4 linked regions of the Saccharomyces cerevisiae S288C genome follow. The gene in region 1 interacts genetically with each later gene. Each region holds a gene or a part of one and is shown in the gene's direction. Other genes may lie near its edges. The genes, in order: RTS1, MIH1, CHL1 and CIK1.

Region 1 (4,473 bases):
ACAATTTCTCACAATTTATATCATGCCTTTTTTGTCAGTTCGTGGCCTTGCCAGTGGAGATATAACAACTACTTCGTAAAGGGTCCCGAAAGAAATGAAAGAATTACTCATTTGATATAAAAATTTGCATGGTATAACAGAAGTGAAACGCGGGGACAACCATGATCTTTTTTGAGTAGGATAATTTTTTATGTCGGTTTGATATATTATAAAGCAAGTCATATATAATATCATACTGATTTTAACCAAACGATAATCAATCAGAAAAAGAAAATAAATAAAAAATCTAGCACATAGTATTTCAGTACCCTTATGGTTCTGACCTCAGAAATTATTCAGCCGCTTGTTATCTTATAGTACGTTTTATATCGTAATTTTCCTGACATTTTGGGCAGAAATCCTTTACTCCTGATATAATAAACGACGTTTTTTTTCCTGTGTTTTTTATGTTACTATAAGAAATGCAAAAAAAGAAACAATAGAAAAAGGCAGTGACAAAAATACTAATCAGAACGTTGAAAACAAATCAATAGTTTTGATAATGGTAGCATCATCGATCAATGAAGAATCCTCTTTGGCGGTAAACTTGACAAGCGATGTAGAGAAGGCTTCGAAAACTTTGTTTAAGGCATTCGAAAAGTCATACGCAAATGACTACTTGATGAAAAAGTTCTTCCATATCCCAATCACTGAAAAAGTTTCAAGGGCAAGAATAAATGCAATGATACATTACTACACGACGTGCTACCATGACTTGGATGGTGAAATTGCTGAGGCAAATGATTTCGATGCAGTCGCAATATGGAGCCGCCCTGGGTGCCACTTGCCTGCTACACTATCTGACGACGAGTCTTTCAATAAGATTTTTTTTTCACGACTTGACTGTGAGGAAGCACGAAGTCATGCCTCTGGGAATGGACTATTACTACCTTTATGCCATCGGAAAAGATCCTAGCCATCCCGAAATTAGAGGTTCAGTCAGAAAAATACTCGAAAAATATAAAACCAAAGCAGACAAGGCCAATTGCGCCCTTGCTCTCGAGGCTATTTCGGAGCACGCAAGATCTGTGTACGAATATTTCGGTTTCAAAACCTATTTGGTGTTTCAGTTCGGGGTTGGAGAAGTGAACTCCAAAGGAGAACCCGATCCGCAGGGGAAGGGATTCACGGCCTACTTGATGCTCTACCACAAAGATGCAGACACCATCTTTCACGCCTGATTTTCTTCTAAAAATTTTATAGACATTTATTGTATGTATGGAGCATATAGCAACAATAAAACTTAGACCAACATTTTTTGCCGGGTCACAACCCCCTATCCCGGCTGCGAGAAAGGAAAAAAAAAAGTATCAGACAATTGATTATCAAAGAGTATGTGAAACTACGCTTTGTTTTCCACTTCAATTGGTAGGCATGTCAATACGTCTCGTTTCTTCATTGGAAAACTCTTCATTTCAAGGATAAACCATCGTCGCCGTAAGTATTTTGGGTTTCATTTCCTTCCCCCCTCGATTTTGCTTTTTTTTCCTTTTTTTGTTAGATAAAAATATAAACCCTTCTCCATATACCTGTTCACCTCAATACCGTCTTTAACTGGCTTTTTTATTTTGTATAAAAGTTCTACTTATTAAGATCAATAGGCACGTGCTATTTTCGAACATCCACTTTCAATATGATGCGTGGTTTCAAGCAAAGATTAATAAAGAAGACCACCGGGTCTTCTTCTTCTTCAAGCAGTAAAAAGAAGGACAAAGAGAAGGAAAAAGAAAAAAGTTCCACTACCTCATCCACATCAAAGAAGCCCGCTTCGGCTAGTAGCTCTTCCCACGGGACTACTCACAGTTCTGCCAGCAGTACCGGATCAAAGTCTACAACTGAGAAGGGCAAGCAATCTGGTAGTGTTCCCTCGCAAGGGAAGCATCATAGTAGCTCTACATCAAAAACAAAAACAGCGACGACCCCTTCTTCCAGCAGCAGTAGCAGTAGAAGTTCAAGTGTCAGTCGCTCCGGTTCAAGCTCCACAAAGAAAACAAGTTCAAGAAAAGGACAAGAACAGTCCAAACAATCGCAACAGCCATCACAATCTCAAAAGCAAGGATCTTCTTCATCATCTGCCGCTATAATGAACCCCACTCCAGTACTCACTGTTACTAAGGACGACAAAAGCACTTCTGGTGAAGATCATGCACATCCTACTTTGCTGGGGGCAGTATCCGCTGTTCCATCATCTCCCATTTCAAATGCTTCAGGTACAGCAGTTTCTTCTGATGTAGAAAATGGTAATAGTAATAATAACAATATGAATATTAATACTAGTAATACTCAGGATGCAAACCACGCCTCCTCACAAAGTATCGACATTCCGAGATCATCACACTCATTTGAGAGACTACCAACACCCACAAAACTTAACCCTGACACAGATTTAGAGTTAATTAAGACTCCCCAACGTCATTCTTCATCTAGATTCGAGCCATCTAGATATACGCCATTAACGAAATTGCCAAATTTTAATGAAGTTTCTCCTGAAGAAAGAATCCCTTTGTTCATTGCCAAAGTTGACCAGTGTAACACTATGTTTGACTTTAATGATCCAAGTTTTGACATTCAAGGTAAAGAGATTAAAAGAAGCACCTTAGATGAGCTAATAGAATTCCTTGTAACAAATAGGTTCACTTACACGAATGAGATGTACGCTCATGTGGTGAACATGTTCAAAATCAATCTGTTTAGACCTATTCCACCACCAGTAAATCCAGTTGGTGACATTTATGACCCAGATGAAGATGAACCTGTTAACGAACTAGCCTGGCCTCATATGCAAGCTGTTTACGAATTCTTTTTAAGGTTTGTGGAAAGTCCTGATTTCAATCATCAGATTGCTAAACAATATATTGATCAGGACTTTATTTTAAAGTTACTGGAATTATTTGATAGCGAAGATATCAGAGAAAGAGACTGTTTGAAAACGACACTGCATAGAATATATGGGAAGTTCTTATCATTAAGAAGCTTTATTCGTCGGTCGATGAATAATATTTTTTTGCAATTTATTTATGAGACTGAGAAGTTTAACGGTGTGGCAGAATTGTTAGAAATTTTGGGTTCCATAATTAATGGATTTGCACTTCCATTAAAGGAAGAGCACAAGGTTTTCTTGGTGAGGATATTGATACCATTACACAAGGTCCGTTGTTTATCATTATACCACCCTCAGTTGGCTTACTGTATCGTTCAATTTCTCGAAAAAGATCCTTTATTAACCGAAGAGGTAGTTATGGGCTTACTGCGTTATTGGCCAAAAATAAATTCCACAAAAGAGATAATGTTTCTAAATGAAATCGAGGATATTTTTGAAGTGATCGAACCGCTGGAATTTATTAAAGTAGAAGTTCCGTTATTTGTTCAATTAGCTAAGTGTATTTCTTCTCCACATTTCCAAGTGGCGGAAAAGGTTTTAAGTTATTGGAATAATGAATATTTCTTAAACTTATGTATCGAAAATGCCGAAGTCATCCTACCCATTATATTTCCTGCATTATATGAATTAACTTCTCAGTTAGAGCTAGATACAGCAAATGGCGAAGATAGCATTTCAGACCCTTACATGCTTGTTGAGCAAGCAATCAATTCTGGTTCGTGGAATAGGGCAATTCATGCTATGGCATTCAAGGCATTGAAAATTTTTCTGGAAACAAACCCAGTATTGTACGAAAACTGTAATGCATTGTACTTATCAAGTGTAAAAGAAACTCAACAGCGTAAGGTGCAACGTGAAGAAAATTGGAGCAAACTTGAAGAATATGTAAAAAATCTAAGGATTAACAATGATAAGGACCAATACACAATCAAAAACCCAGAATTAAGAAACAGTTTCAACACAGCAAGTGAGAATAACACATTAAATGAAGAGAACGAAAATGATTGTGACAGCGAGATACAGTGAAACAGCAATTCATTACAAGCTCGAAGAAGTGAGGAAGTTTAGGGCATGCCACATTTCAAAAGAGCAGCAGTATATGAAGAGCAAAAAAGAACTGGTAAATGGGGTCAACTTGTTGAAGAAACCAAAGATAGAATCCCCGAATATTCGAACAAAACTATAGCAAAGATAAGCCACTTGGACAATGGTTGTTTGTGGCCTGAGATAAAGGTCTCTTTTTCTCATCATTTGAGCATACTTCAATCGATGTGTCTTCATTTTATTATTTCTATACTTTTCTCCAAATATATCTTCGTTTTTCTTTTCGCTTTCCTTCTTCCTTCTGCCTTTCCTCTATTTATTTTGCACTCCACTCTTTTCCGTAAACCTTGCCTATCTATTATTGGATTTTTGAAAACTAAAGTATAAAGGTATGTCATAAATAATTAAATAACAAAAAAAATAGGATCATGATACAAAAAAGTGCCTTCCCCTTAGCACAGCTGATCCAACAATTTTAAGAGCTTGAAAAGCAACCTATACGTAGTTTT
Region 2 (3,924 bases), on another chromosome or scaffold:
ACCTCGTCACATAATAACAGTAGCACTAACATGAAATCCTTCAACAGCGATCTTTATTCAAGAAGGCAAAGAGCTTCTTTACCCATAATCGATGATTCACTAAGCTACGACCTGGTTAATAAGCAGGATGAAGACCCCAAGAACGATATGCTGCCGAATTCAAATTTGAGTTCATCTCAACAATTTATCAAACCGTCTATGATTCTTTCAGACAATGCGTCCGTTATTGCGAAAGTGGCGACTACAGGCTTGAGTAATGATATGCCATTTTTGACAGAGGAAGGTGAACAAAATGCTAATTCTACTCCAAATTTCGATCTTTCCATCACTCAAATGAATATGGCTCCATTATCGCCTGCATCATCATCCTCCACGTCTCTTGCAACAAATCATTTCTATCACCATTTCCCACAGCAGGGTCACCATACCATGAACTCTAAAATCGGTTCTTCCCTTCGGAGGCGGAAGTCTGCTGTGCCTTTGATGGGTACGGTGCCGCTTACAAATCAACAAAATAATATAAGCAGTAGTAGTGTCAACTCAACTGGCAATGGTGCTGGGGTTACGAAGGAAAGAAGGCCAAGTTACAGGAGAAAATCAATGACACCGTCCAGAAGATCAAGTGTCGTAATAGAATCAACAAAGGAACTCGAGGAGAAACCGTTCCACTGTCACATTTGTCCCAAGAGCTTTAAGCGCAGCGAACATTTGAAAAGGCATGTGAGATCTGTTCACTCTAACGAACGACCATTTGCTTGTCACATATGCGATAAGAAATTTAGTAGAAGCGATAATTTGTCGCAACACATCAAGACTCATAAAAAACATGGAGACATTTAATAGACCCCATTTTTTTAATTCGATAGATCTTTCTTCATAAGATAATTCTGTTCAATGACTTATGAAGCTTACGGCTTATTGTTATTATTATCATGATTCTTTGCCATTTTTCCGGTACCTTCACATTTTGAAGGAATTCAGTTCCCCCGCCTGTAACAACTTAGATACACGTAGATAAAAATTAATATAGCCAAAATATTTGGTATGATAGGGTATAGTATAATATAATTAATACAATATAATATAATATAGTACAGTACAGTATAATATTGTATAATATCATATGGCACCGTAATATCATATATATATCCGTACAGTTTAATGAATTCCGTGCGCATTATGCTGTGCAATATGCCTGTCAGTTTGAAAATCGAAGATACCACATCGTACAAAAGCAAGAGGGGTGCCCCTAATGGGAGAAGATTACCGTTTTTATTTTGGGGTAGCTAACTGCGCCACAAATAGTATCTACCAGTTTGCTACTTTTAGAACTGTATTATGTATCTTTGCCGAATACTTAATTTCCTAGGCCTCATTTTCAGGACTAAGGATGAAGAGGGGCTTCAATGTTTTATATGGCGCTTTTTCTGTCCATTGTATACGTCAAAAAAGCATAGATACTCCACTTATTAGCGGTAAAGCCCTTTTTGATACATTGTTCCGGCGTTTAAATATTCTCATTATGATATTTCCCCAACAGTTACACTCTGTTATTTCCTTCTTTTTTATGCTTTATCTGTTTTTTCCCTGTTTCGATGCCGTATATCAGAAAACTTAAAGTTACAAGCGAAAACAAAGAAAAGAGAGTTAACTTGAAAGGAGACAAAAGATAAACAGAGCAGTGGACAAACCAGGATTGAAGTCAGCGAGGGTGAAGAAACCATGAACAATATATTTCATGGAACTGAAGATGAATGTGCCAATGAAGACGTTCTTAGTTTCCAAAAAATTTCCTTGAAAAGTCCCTTTGGTAAGAAGAAGAACATATTTAGAAATGTTCAGACCTTCTTTAAGTCAAAAAGCAAACATTCGAATGTCGACGATGATTTAATCAATAAAGAGAATCTTGCCTTTGATAAATCTCCATTGTTAACAAATCACAGGAGTAAGGAAATTGATGGTCCTTCACCGAATATAAAGCAGCTTGGCCATCGCGATGAGTTAGATGAAAATGAAAATGAAAATGATGATATAGTCTTAAGCATGCATTTTGCTTCTCAAACCTTACAAAGTCCAACAAGAAACTCATCAAGAAGATCTTTGACCAATAATAGGGATAATGATCTTTTAAGTAGAATCAAGTATCCTGGCAGTCCCCAGAGGTCGAGCTCTTTTTCAAGGTCAAGGTCCTTGTCGAGAAAGCCAAGCATGAATAGCAGTAGCAATTCAAGCAGGAGGGTGCAACGGCAAGATGGGAAAATTCCGAGGTCATCGAGAAAAAGTTCACAGAAATTTTCTAACATTACTCAGAATACTTTGAACTTCACGTCTGCGTCATCCAGTCCACTAGCTCCTAATTCGGTAGGGGTGAAATGTTTTGAATCATGCCTAGCCAAAACACAGATACCATATTATTATGACGATCGTAACTCAAATGACTTTTTCCCTCGAATTTCTCCAGAAACGTTGAAAAATATTCTGCAGAATAATATGTGCGAGTCATTTTATAATTCATGTCGTATTATAGATTGTCGGTTTGAATACGAATATACTGGCGGCCACATAATAAACTCCGTTAACATACACTCGAGAGATGAGTTAGAGTACGAATTTATCCATAAAGTTTTGCATAGCGATACTAGCAACAACAACACTCTACCAACTCTTTTAATTATCCATTGCGAATTTAGTTCCCACCGGGGACCTTCATTGGCCTCTCATTTGAGAAATTGTGATCGTATAATAAATCAGGATCATTATCCCAAATTATTCTATCCCGACATATTGATATTGGATGGCGGATACAAAGCTGTTTTTGACAATTTTCCTGAACTATGTTATCCACGTCAGTACGTGGGAATGAACTCACAAGAAAATTTGCTGAATTGTGAACAAGAAATGGATAAGTTTAGGAGAGAATCTAAAAGATTTGCTACTAAAAATAATTCTTTTAGAAAACTAGCTTCCCCTTCAAATCCTAACTTCTTTTATAGAGATAGCCATCAATCTTCAACAACAATGGCATCTTCTGCACTATCGTTCAGGTTTGAGCCGCCTCCGAAGCTGTCATTAAACCACAGAAGAGTCTCTAGTGGTTCATCATTAAATTCAAGTGAGAGTACAGGCGACGAAAATTTCTTCCCCATCTTAAGTAAGTCGTCTATGAGTAGTAACAGTAACCTAAGCACTTCACATATGCTACTAATGGACGGACTGGATACCCCATCATATTTTAGTTTCGAAGATGAGAGAGGCAATCATCAGCAAGTAAGTGGAGATGAAGAGCAAGACGGAGATTTTACTTTCGTTGGTTCCGACCGAGAAGATTTACCCAGGCCCGCAAGAAGATCGTTATTCCCTTCTCTAGAGACTGAAGATAAAAAATGATACTACATGTGCATGAAGTATTATGAAAAAAAGAAGTATATATTCAGGAACCGAACGGCAACAACATCAATACATAAATCACAATCATCTATATTTATTGCATTAGATTAATCACATAATATAAAAAATTTGCATTTGAATACCGGGGTCACTTCTAAATTCATAAAAATAAGCTGATTTTCATTCTAAAATGGCTCTTTTGCTAATGCAGTCTCTACCGGTACTCAGTTTGAGATCCGTTCCCCACCTGGAGGGTGGCCAAACAATTGTTATAGCTTTCCCTATGACCAACCCACTGGAAATGGGGCCAAAAGTATTGCTATCAATCGAATGAAAATAATTGTCCCCTTCGACCCATATGTGTCCCCTGGGCAGGTTCACTTGAGGTTTAGGGTATGGAAACTTCGTGTCAATGGTATCAAACGGTAAACCTTTAACCCTTTTGCAGTAAACTTTCCGAGGGTTTGTAGGAGCTTTGAAAAGGATAATGTCATCTCTAGATAAATTACTTGGGTTCTTGACTCCAAACTTCCAAAG
Region 3 (4,762 bases), on another chromosome or scaffold:
TTAGACCCTGAACAGCAAGCTTAACTTCCTCTATTAAGGGTGCATTTTCAATTATGAGATGGCCTTTCCTTTCATTTAGTTCTTGGACGTCTAATAAAGCTTGTATTTTTCTATCATTTTCGGCACGAGCATCATCGATTTTCTTTTGCGCTTGCGATTCCTGATTTTGTATACGTAGAGCATACTTAGAGGATTCTATTGTTGAGAAAAATTTGTCTAGCGTCCTATTGTAAGGACCTTCAACTTCAATGATACAAGAAGAGTCAGTGTCTCCCCCATTTATATATGGCTTAAAGGGATGGAATGTATCATAAATAAATTCCAAATCGGCAGTATCTTTTTCAGAGATATAATTTTCATTTCTTTTGGCCAAAATGTAACCCTTTCTATCGGTGGTAGTTAAAAGTTGATTATATTCTAACTGAGTACTGTTTAGCAATTCGGCGAGTGAGTCTGTTTCCTCCAAAAGATTTAAACAAGACTCTGAAGGGTCGATATTGAATACCTTAAGGTTCTTTGATAATAAATCTGAAGACAAATGAGGGACTTTCGAAAGCAGCAGTTTATGGATGGAAGGTACTTTCACTTTTTTTTTTTTAGCGCCCTCCTTCCCTTGAATGTTAAGTTGCTTAATAACAGTAATGTCTGATTCATACTTGGCTTGAACTGCTTTTATCCACTCGTTGACTAGTTCAGAGGTGTATTCTGCCTTTCTGTTTTTTTCTATGGATTCATCAGCAGACTCGTTATTTGTGGTAAAAAGTGATTCGTCAAACATTTCATAAATTTGTCCGACCTTATTTTCATGCTCTAGAACGACTCTTTGCAAAGCCATAATTCTTCTGTTCTCATCTAGAAGAATGACATTCCCTGCACTGAAAAATTCCAAAACTAAATAGAAGTGGCCATCAGCAAATTGTAGAACAAGAATTCTATCCTGGTCTACTTGCTTTAAAGCTGTTAACCGTTTAGCTTTAAGATGCTTCCTTAGTTTGACAACAAAGCCGGAAGGAGTTGGAGGTATTGGCCTACTAAATTCAGTTAAGTAAATTCTTAAGCCACAATCGACAACAACATTGAGTTTAGAATCTGGTTTATTAAATTTCAGCAAAAATTGTTTTGAGGAATCGGCAATGTTATATATATTACTCAATCGGTAGCCTTCCAAATCCTGTTTCAGCTCTCTAGCCAACAGCAGTAAATCTAGGGCACTAATTCTTTGCTTCATCGCTATTAATCTCTTGCCTGCCTGACTTCTTAGACCGGATAATAAGTAGCAACTTTCTTTTCAATTTGCCATCGGATTCTTTTAAAACTATTTTTCAGGCGAAATTTCATTTTTCTATCCTTCCGCAGCATGAATGAAAAGTTCAAACGCGTCCAAATATACAATAGATATAGTGCATTAGTTAATGTCCGGAAGAGAAGTCGCAATTGTTGAAAAGGTTAAAACTCAGGCTATTTATTGAAAATCCAATTTTAATCGTAACCACAGAGTTGAGGTAGAGGCTCATTTGTTACCTGACAGTTGATGACATTATCACTGACATATTTAAATTCATCATTAGTGTAATCAGCACATGCTAAGTTGAGGGCACTACTGCAACTTCAGTTTGTTTCCTTAAAACCCAAAAGAGTAGAAAACCAGGCTAAAAACAGTCACACTAGTCCAAAAAATGGACAAAAAGGAATATTCGGAGACTTTCTATCATCCTTATAAGCCCTATGATATTCAGGTACAGTTAATGGAAACTGTATACAGAGTGCTATCCGAAGGGAAGAAAATAGCTATCCTGGAAAGCCCCACTGGGACAGGCAAGACGCTGTCCTTAATCTGTGCCACGATGACTTGGTTGAGAATGAATAAAGCAGATATTTTCACCCGCATGGAAACTAACATCAAAACGAATGAAGATGATAGTGAAAACCTAAGCGATGACGAGCCAGACTGGGTTATTGACACTTATCGAAAGTCTGTTTTACAAGAAAAGGTGGATTTGCTAAATGATTATGAGAAGCATTTAAACGAAATTAACACGACCAGTTGTAAGCAGTTGAAAACTATGTGTGATTTAGATAAAGAACATGGAAGATATAAATCAGTTGATCCATTAAGAAAGAAACGCAAAGGCGCTAGGCACCTTGATGTATCACTTGAAGAACAAGATTTTATTCCGCGCCCGTACGAATCAGATTCTGAAAACAATGATACCTCCAAAAGCACAAGAGGAGGAAGAATATCTGATAAAGATTACAAATTGAGTGAACTAAATTCACAAATAATAACACTTTTAGACAAAATTGATGGGAAGGTTTCGAGAGATCCAAACAATGGCGATCGCTTTGACGTTACAAATCAAAATCCAGTGAAAATATATTATGCATCCAGAACTTATTCACAATTAGGTCAATTTACTTCTCAGTTAAGATTACCCTCGTTCCCATCATCCTTTAGGGATAAGGTCCCAGATGAAAAGGTGAAGTACTTACCACTTGCTTCGAAAAAGCAGCTTTGTATTAATCCAAAAGTGATGAAGTGGAAAACATTGGAAGCTATTAATGACGCATGTGCGGACCTTAGACATAGTAAAGAGGGATGTATCTTTTATCAAAATACAAACGAATGGCGTCATTGTCCTGATACGTTAGCTCTCAGAGATATGATTTTTTCAGAAATTCAAGATATTGAAGATTTAGTTCCCCTGGGAAAATCTTTGGGAATTTGTCCCTATTACGCCTCGAGGGAGGCACTTCCTATTGCGGAGGTAGTGACTTTGCCATATCAATACTTACTTTCTGAGTCCACCCGTTCAAGTCTTCAAATAAACCTTGAAAATTCTATAGTAATTATTGATGAGGCTCATAATTTGATAGAAACAATAAATTCTATATATTCCTCTCAGATCTCGTTGGAGGACTTAAAGAATTGCCATAAGGGGATAGTAACTTATTTCAACAAATTTAAGTCCAGGCTCAATCCCGGTAACAGAGTAAATCTATTAAAGCTCAATTCACTTTTGATGACTCTGATTCAATTTATAGTTAAAAATTTCAAGAAGATAGGACAAGAAATAGATCCTAACGATATGTTCACAGGAAGTAACATCGATACCCTAAACATTCATAAACTATTGAGATATATAAAAGTCTCCAAAATTGCTTACAAAATTGACACGTATAACCAGGCACTAAAAGAGGAAGAATCGTCAAAAAATGAAAATCCAATAAAAGAAACGCATAAAAAATCAGTTTCTTCTCAGCCATTACTTTTCAAGGTTTCTCAATTCCTATATTGTTTGACAAATTTGACGTCAGAAGGACAATTTTTTTTTGAGAAAAATTATTCAATAAAGTACATGCTTCTAGAACCAAGTAAACCTTTTGAGTCAATACTAAATCAAGCAAAATGTGTAGTCCTTGCAGGTGGGACAATGGAACCCATGTCAGAGTTTTTGTCGAATTTGCTACCTGAAGTTCCTTCTGAAGACATTACGACCTTGTCGTGCAATCATGTTATACCGAAAGAGAATTTGCAAACTTATATCACAAACCAGCCTGAGCTTGAGTTCACATTCGAAAAAAGAATGTCTCCCTCCCTTGTAAATAATCATCTTTTTCAATTTTTTGTTGATCTGAGCAAAGCAGTTCCTAAAAAGGGTGGTATTGTAGCTTTTTTTCCAAGCTATCAGTATTTGGCGCATGTAATTCAGTGCTGGAAACAGAATGACAGGTTTGCTACATTAAATAACGTGAGGAAAATATTCTATGAAGCAAAAGACGGCGATGATATTCTATCTGGATATTCTGATTCGGTAGCAGAGGGAAGGGGGTCTCTTTTGCTGGCTATTGTTGGGGGAAAATTATCAGAGGGAATAAATTTTCAAGATGATTTATGTAGGGCTGTGGTGATGGTGGGCCTGCCGTTCCCAAATATTTTTAGTGGAGAACTAATAGTTAAAAGGAAGCATTTGGCCGCTAAAATAATGAAGTCAGGCGGAACGGAAGAGGAAGCTTCACGAGCAACAAAGGAGTTTATGGAGAATATTTGTATGAAAGCTGTCAACCAAAGTGTTGGACGTGCTATACGGCATGCAAATGATTACGCAAACATTTACTTGCTCGATGTGCGATATAATAGGCCCAATTTCCGGAAAAAATTGTCACGTTGGGTGCAAGATTCTATCAATTCCGAACATACAACACATCAGGTCATTTCTTCAACACGGAAGTTTTTTTCAATGCGCAGCCTGAATTCACGCTAAAAGGAATACGTTTACGTGTATACTGTGATTACTACTATATATTATAGTAAACTAAACTGATATTTATGACTACTTTTTATATCTGCAAGTAATTCTTTGTCTCTTGTATCCTTACATAACTTCCAGCGTTGTTCCACAATATACGCTTATTTCATTAAATCTTTCTAATAGACCCCTTGTAAACCAACCATAATCATTCAAATCATCTCGTTTTATGTCTATTACCCGTTGTTTGCTCACGGGACATATCTTTACATGCGTTGTAAGTATTGGAAGCAAAGTGACACCACACCTCTTCCACGTGTTATTCGTGGTGGATGTTACAGTTTCAGGGTCAGCCGTGAAGCTTTCTAAATTGAACGTTTCCTCGAGAAAGCTGTTCTTCATCAATAACGTGCCGTTGTAAATTGGCGCTTCTCTTTTAAGTATTGCCGCTATAGATAATACGCAAGCTAAATCAAAACTATTCGTTAATTCGGATTTTTTGTTTATAGCGTATT
Region 4 (4,259 bases), on another chromosome or scaffold:
TTTTTTGAATACTTTGACGGTGATACTGGAAGAGGGCTTGGCGCTTCACACCAATGTGGTTGGACTGCTCTTGTGGCCAAATGGATAAGTGATGTAGGTATATCCTGTGTAAGACTACCTCGTACGCCAAGATCATCTGTGGCAACGACCGCTTCAACAGAGAGCTCTGAGCAAGGTCCCAAAATGAAGAGAATGGCAAGACGTAAGAGTGCAAAGTCTTTGGTAAACTACACTGCCACCATTTTGGACTTAACCGAAGAAGAAAAGCGCCATCATAGGATAGGGGGCACCCATTCTGGGTTGACACCACAAAGCAGCATTTCAAGTGACAAGGCTAGACATTTGATGGAGGAAATGAATGAAGAGGAAGGTATTCACGAAACTGTGGTACCTGAAGATCGTCACAACTTTGAAACCAAGCTTATAGGCAAGCTAAAAGATAAGGTGAAAAATATGAAAGTAACTGACAAGGCTAAAGATGAGGATATAGACCCAATGGACCCAATGAGTCCGTTGAATAAGGATGTGTCTTGATTAACTGCGGTGAACCTTCAATATCTGTACGTTTGAAAAATATTTCCAACGATATACCTCTATATTTTGATCTATAGAATATTTAATTGCAGTAGTTTTTTATCAGTAAGGTAGCGTTGATATTACTAGTGAAGGTAACTCTATAGTTCCTTGACATGTTCTTTAGATTCTAGAGGTTTTTTATTGAATTTGTTTTCCCACCTTATTTAAACTTTGAGAACAAAACTAGCAAAATCAATAATATAAGGACTGCGATAATGGCATAGCTTATGAATTTATTAGCAACTAGCCTTCTAGTCATTGTTTTTAGTGTCTTTATACTTTTATCCACATATGAATCCGCTTGAAACAAGGTCTGTCTTGCATTTTCCAAAGTTTCTCTCTGTGACCTTAAATCCATCATTATTTGTGACCCTATTCCTTCAGTTTCATTTGCTATTCTACTGGCATCTTTTAGTCTATCTCCCGATTTCTGTAAGATTGCATGGTTGCTCAACAACTGTTGCCTTTGGTCATCGTCAATATTAGATGCGTTAAGATCTCCAAAAAGTCTATCACGATCGCCTGAGTCTACTAAGGATTGCAGTGGTCGTTTGATATCGCTCTGTATAGTCTTCTTCCATTCTCTTAACTTCGCCTTGTACGTAGCACGTTCTGAGGCATCGCCTATGCTGTTATTAACTTCTACATCCATCTGATCTAGCAGGTCAAACAACTCATCTTGTTGCTGTTCTACGTGCTTCAGTGTAGTATTTCTCTGTGATAACGGTTGTGAGGGGGCCTCTGCTAAGCTCGCTTTGGCTTGTTCTAAGGTTGTTTTGAAGTCAGATTCGTATGATATTAATAGGGAACTCATAGTAAGCCATGCAGCAATGTAAAGAGTGCGGTTGATTCGTTTTATACAACTTAATGTAAAGCTTTACACTTTTCCAAGAATAGTAATTGCCCTATATAGCACGACTACTCCACTCCTAACTTTCATTGAAAATTAGACAGTCATGTGATCAGTAATATCGTCCATAGTGATATTTGTTTGTTTACCATTTTTGTTCTTATTTACTCTCTAATATGATTCTAGTATATGAAAGATACCACTGTCGTAGCTCGTATCAAAATAAAACTAGTCAGTCGTTGACCATTGAGCATATCGTCCGAGAATAAGGCTTTACTGTATTATTTTTTGATATCCACACGTTATTGAGCTCATTCACTGATCGACACATTTAGGCGGCTTTTCCGTTTGGCTGAAGCAACTTTGAAACACAACTACGACATTATAATTAAGCGCCTAAATAAGTGAATTTTGTGCCATAGGGTTGGACCGTGTATATATAAGAGCTATTCACTATTTTAATATTTGTTTTGGCATTTGAAACTCGTTGACATAAGCTTTATTATTAGGATGAATAACTCCAAAATTCCTAAACTTTCCTTTCATAGTGATCCAAACAACGTCACTCGAGACTTTCCAAAGACAAAACGACAGAAGGTTCAGAAAAGAGAAATGGATATGATACTAACTCCTAATAACAACAAGCTAAATATATTGCACAGCTCTGGATCTGGTATACGGCGCTGCTACACTGATGACACCTCCGCTACGTATACTAAGAAACTAACCTTTGGGGGGGACCCCAAGATTATTGAAAGGGTTAAGAACAATGAACGTAAGGTTAGAAAAGACATAGATTCACTACTGAATGCTATTTCTGAAATTGAAAAGGAATCTGTTCGTATTCATGCCAGGGAACTACCTGCAATAACATTAGAATTAGATGCAAAAGTCAAAGCGTGCAGGGAGCTACAAAATGAGATTGATGGACTATCAACGGAGATGGACTTGAAGGATAATCAATGTGATCTTCAAAGAAAGAATGTTGAGCTATCATCAAAAAATATAGTGTCTATGCATGCAGTAAAAGTACAAGAGTTCGAAAACGATTTAGAGGAAGAGCTATCGAATGCCAAAAGGGAGTGGACGTATAAATTAATGGAAGTAGAAAATTTGAAACCTGACGAAAGGTTAACTGACGAAATGCGACAGCTTAAAACAGAATTCGAGGAGGTCAATAGGAAACTATTCATTCTACAGAATGAAAATGAGAACGAGTGTAAAAACTACAAAAAAGAATTGGACAAGAAATTCGAGATATTCAAGAAAGTTAAGAACGATGCTAGAATTGAATTAGATGGGGAGCAAGAAAGACTTTCGAAAGTTTTAAAAGACCTACAAGACACCCATGGTGAACTGAAAGAAAATATTAAGACGTGTAGAGATGAGTTTAACGATTTTGAAAAAAGGATTGGAGAGGCAGAAGTGAACTTCCATAGCATGGAACTTGCCGTTGTTCCTCTCAAAAAGAAGCTTGCTTCTACATCACAAGCATTGACGCAAGTGCAGGAGGAGAAGAAGCAAGTCGAAGGAGAAGCAAACAATTGGAAGAAGAAGTACGTTAATGAACTAGAAAAGGTTCAACAGGAATTATACACACGACAAAATCTGGCCACTTCAATTGAAGAAATCAAAGGATACACCCGATGCTTTGCGTATGCCAATGAACGACAAATGCCTGATGAATTCCATATCAACTATGTGGATCGGTGCATTTGCGAGAATAGTGGAGAAAAACGGGTACAAGTATTTGATAGAGTAGTTCTCGAAGAAATCCATAAGGATCACAAACGCTTATATAACGAATGCATTCCGTTCCTGGAAAAATACATCAGCAAGTTAATTAACTGCAGCATTATAGTGGTTTCGCAGCAACCCACAGCACCAATGAAAAAGACTTTGCTAAAACAGTTAATTGAGCAGTACGGTGAGAATTATAAGATGACATTGAACATTTTGCATCTTGACGGAAGTATTAAACACAGTGACGTTGGATTAGATAACCCAACAGAAATTAGAGATCTGTCACAAGATGAAGAATGCATGAACATTTTAACTTTAGATACCAAGTTGGGAAAAGATGAAGAGTCCCATTCAATGAATATATATATCGGTAGTATGTCCACGGTACAGCTGAATAGAGAGCTTGATGATGCTCCCTCAGTCCTTTCGCATATTCTCACTAAAACAAAGCAGTGCTTTGTCTTCAAGATTAACGCTGGTGAAAACATCGAGAAGGCTCTAGCCTTAGCGGGAAAGCTGAAAAGAACAATAACATTACCTCAGCTAGATTAAGAAGGCCAGATCTTGTGCGCTACAATCACTTCGTCTCGTTCCCTTACATAAAAAACTTACGTAGCTACATTGTCGTGCGTGGCATCAACCTAATTATCCTAGCAAAATAAAAGAGAATGTTACGGGACTAACAGGCGGATGTAAATTACTCACTTAAACGCAGCCAAACATCATCGAGAACTTAGGGTAGCGTGCCACAAAATTTGCATGAATAAACTTTTGTTTTCCTAATTCGACAGCATTCCCTTGTTCGCAACACTTCACTGATAGGAAATCGAATAGCGCACACTCTCTTCTGGGACATACCCCAATGCGGTAAAGCCACGAAAACACCGCGCGTAAAGGGGTAAACAAGTCCATTCCTACAACCTCTTGGAGAAATTCTTTACCTACTACAACCCCGCGCCTGATACTTTCAGTATTCATGACAACTCGAGCCAGATCCCGCTCGTGGGCGTGTTCATTCTGTGACGATCCACTAGCGACTTCTTTGTTCAGCCTGCAAGAGACGCGTTCAAGGAAGAATTCGCGATTTTAC

What was found.
Region 2: mutations in RTS1 (region 1) and MIH1 together harm fitness more than expected from each alone (negative genetic interaction), as found in Saccharomyces cerevisiae (4 studies listed by BioGRID, with this or other methods).
Region 3: mutations in RTS1 (region 1) and CHL1 together harm fitness more than expected from each alone (negative genetic interaction), as found in Saccharomyces cerevisiae (5 studies listed by BioGRID, with this or other methods).
Region 4: mutations in RTS1 (region 1) and CIK1 together harm fitness more than expected from each alone (negative genetic interaction), as found in Saccharomyces cerevisiae (4 studies listed by BioGRID, with this or other methods).

What each region holds. Positions count from the first base shown.
Region 1 is NC_001147.6:356,002-360,474, forward strand, and holds RTS1 (protein phosphatase 2A regulatory subunit RTS1), read left to right. Parts: upstream 1-1,672; coding exon 1,673-3,946; downstream 3,947-4,473. Other genes in the region: YOR012W (uncharacterized protein), read left to right, coding at 542-955; YOR015W (uncharacterized protein), read left to right, coding at 3,992-4,351; ERP4 (Erp4p), read right to left, coding at 4,460-4,473. UniProt on the Saccharomyces cerevisiae protein: The B regulatory subunit might modulate substrate selectivity and catalytic activity, and might also direct the localization of the catalytic enzyme to a particular subcellular compartment. Multicopy suppressor of ROX3 and HSP60.
Region 2 is NC_001145.3:341,319-345,242, reverse strand, and holds MIH1 (putative tyrosine protein phosphatase MIH1), read left to right. Parts: upstream 1-1,722; coding exon 1,723-3,387; downstream 3,388-3,924. Other genes in the region: stress-responsive transcriptional activator MSN2, read left to right, coding at 1-840; IMP2 (endopeptidase catalytic subunit), read right to left, coding at 3,568-3,924.
Region 3 is NC_001148.4:537,709-542,470, forward strand, and holds CHL1 (DNA helicase), read left to right. Parts: upstream 1-1,676; coding exon 1,677-4,262; downstream 4,263-4,762. Other genes in the region: RQC2 (Rqc2p), read right to left, coding at 1-1,228; transcription factor TFIIIC subunit TFC8, read right to left, coding at 4,374-4,762.
Region 4 is NC_001145.3:657,809-662,067, forward strand, and holds CIK1 (Cik1p), read left to right. Parts: upstream 1-1,936; coding exon 1,937-3,721; downstream 3,722-4,259. Other genes in the region: YMR196W (uncharacterized protein), read left to right, coding at 1-534; v-SNARE protein VTI1, read right to left, coding at 737-1,390. UniProt on the Saccharomyces cerevisiae protein: Together with the minus end-directed microtubule motor KAR3, involved in spindle midzone assembly, karyogamy (nuclear fusion) during mating, and with an essential function in meiosis I.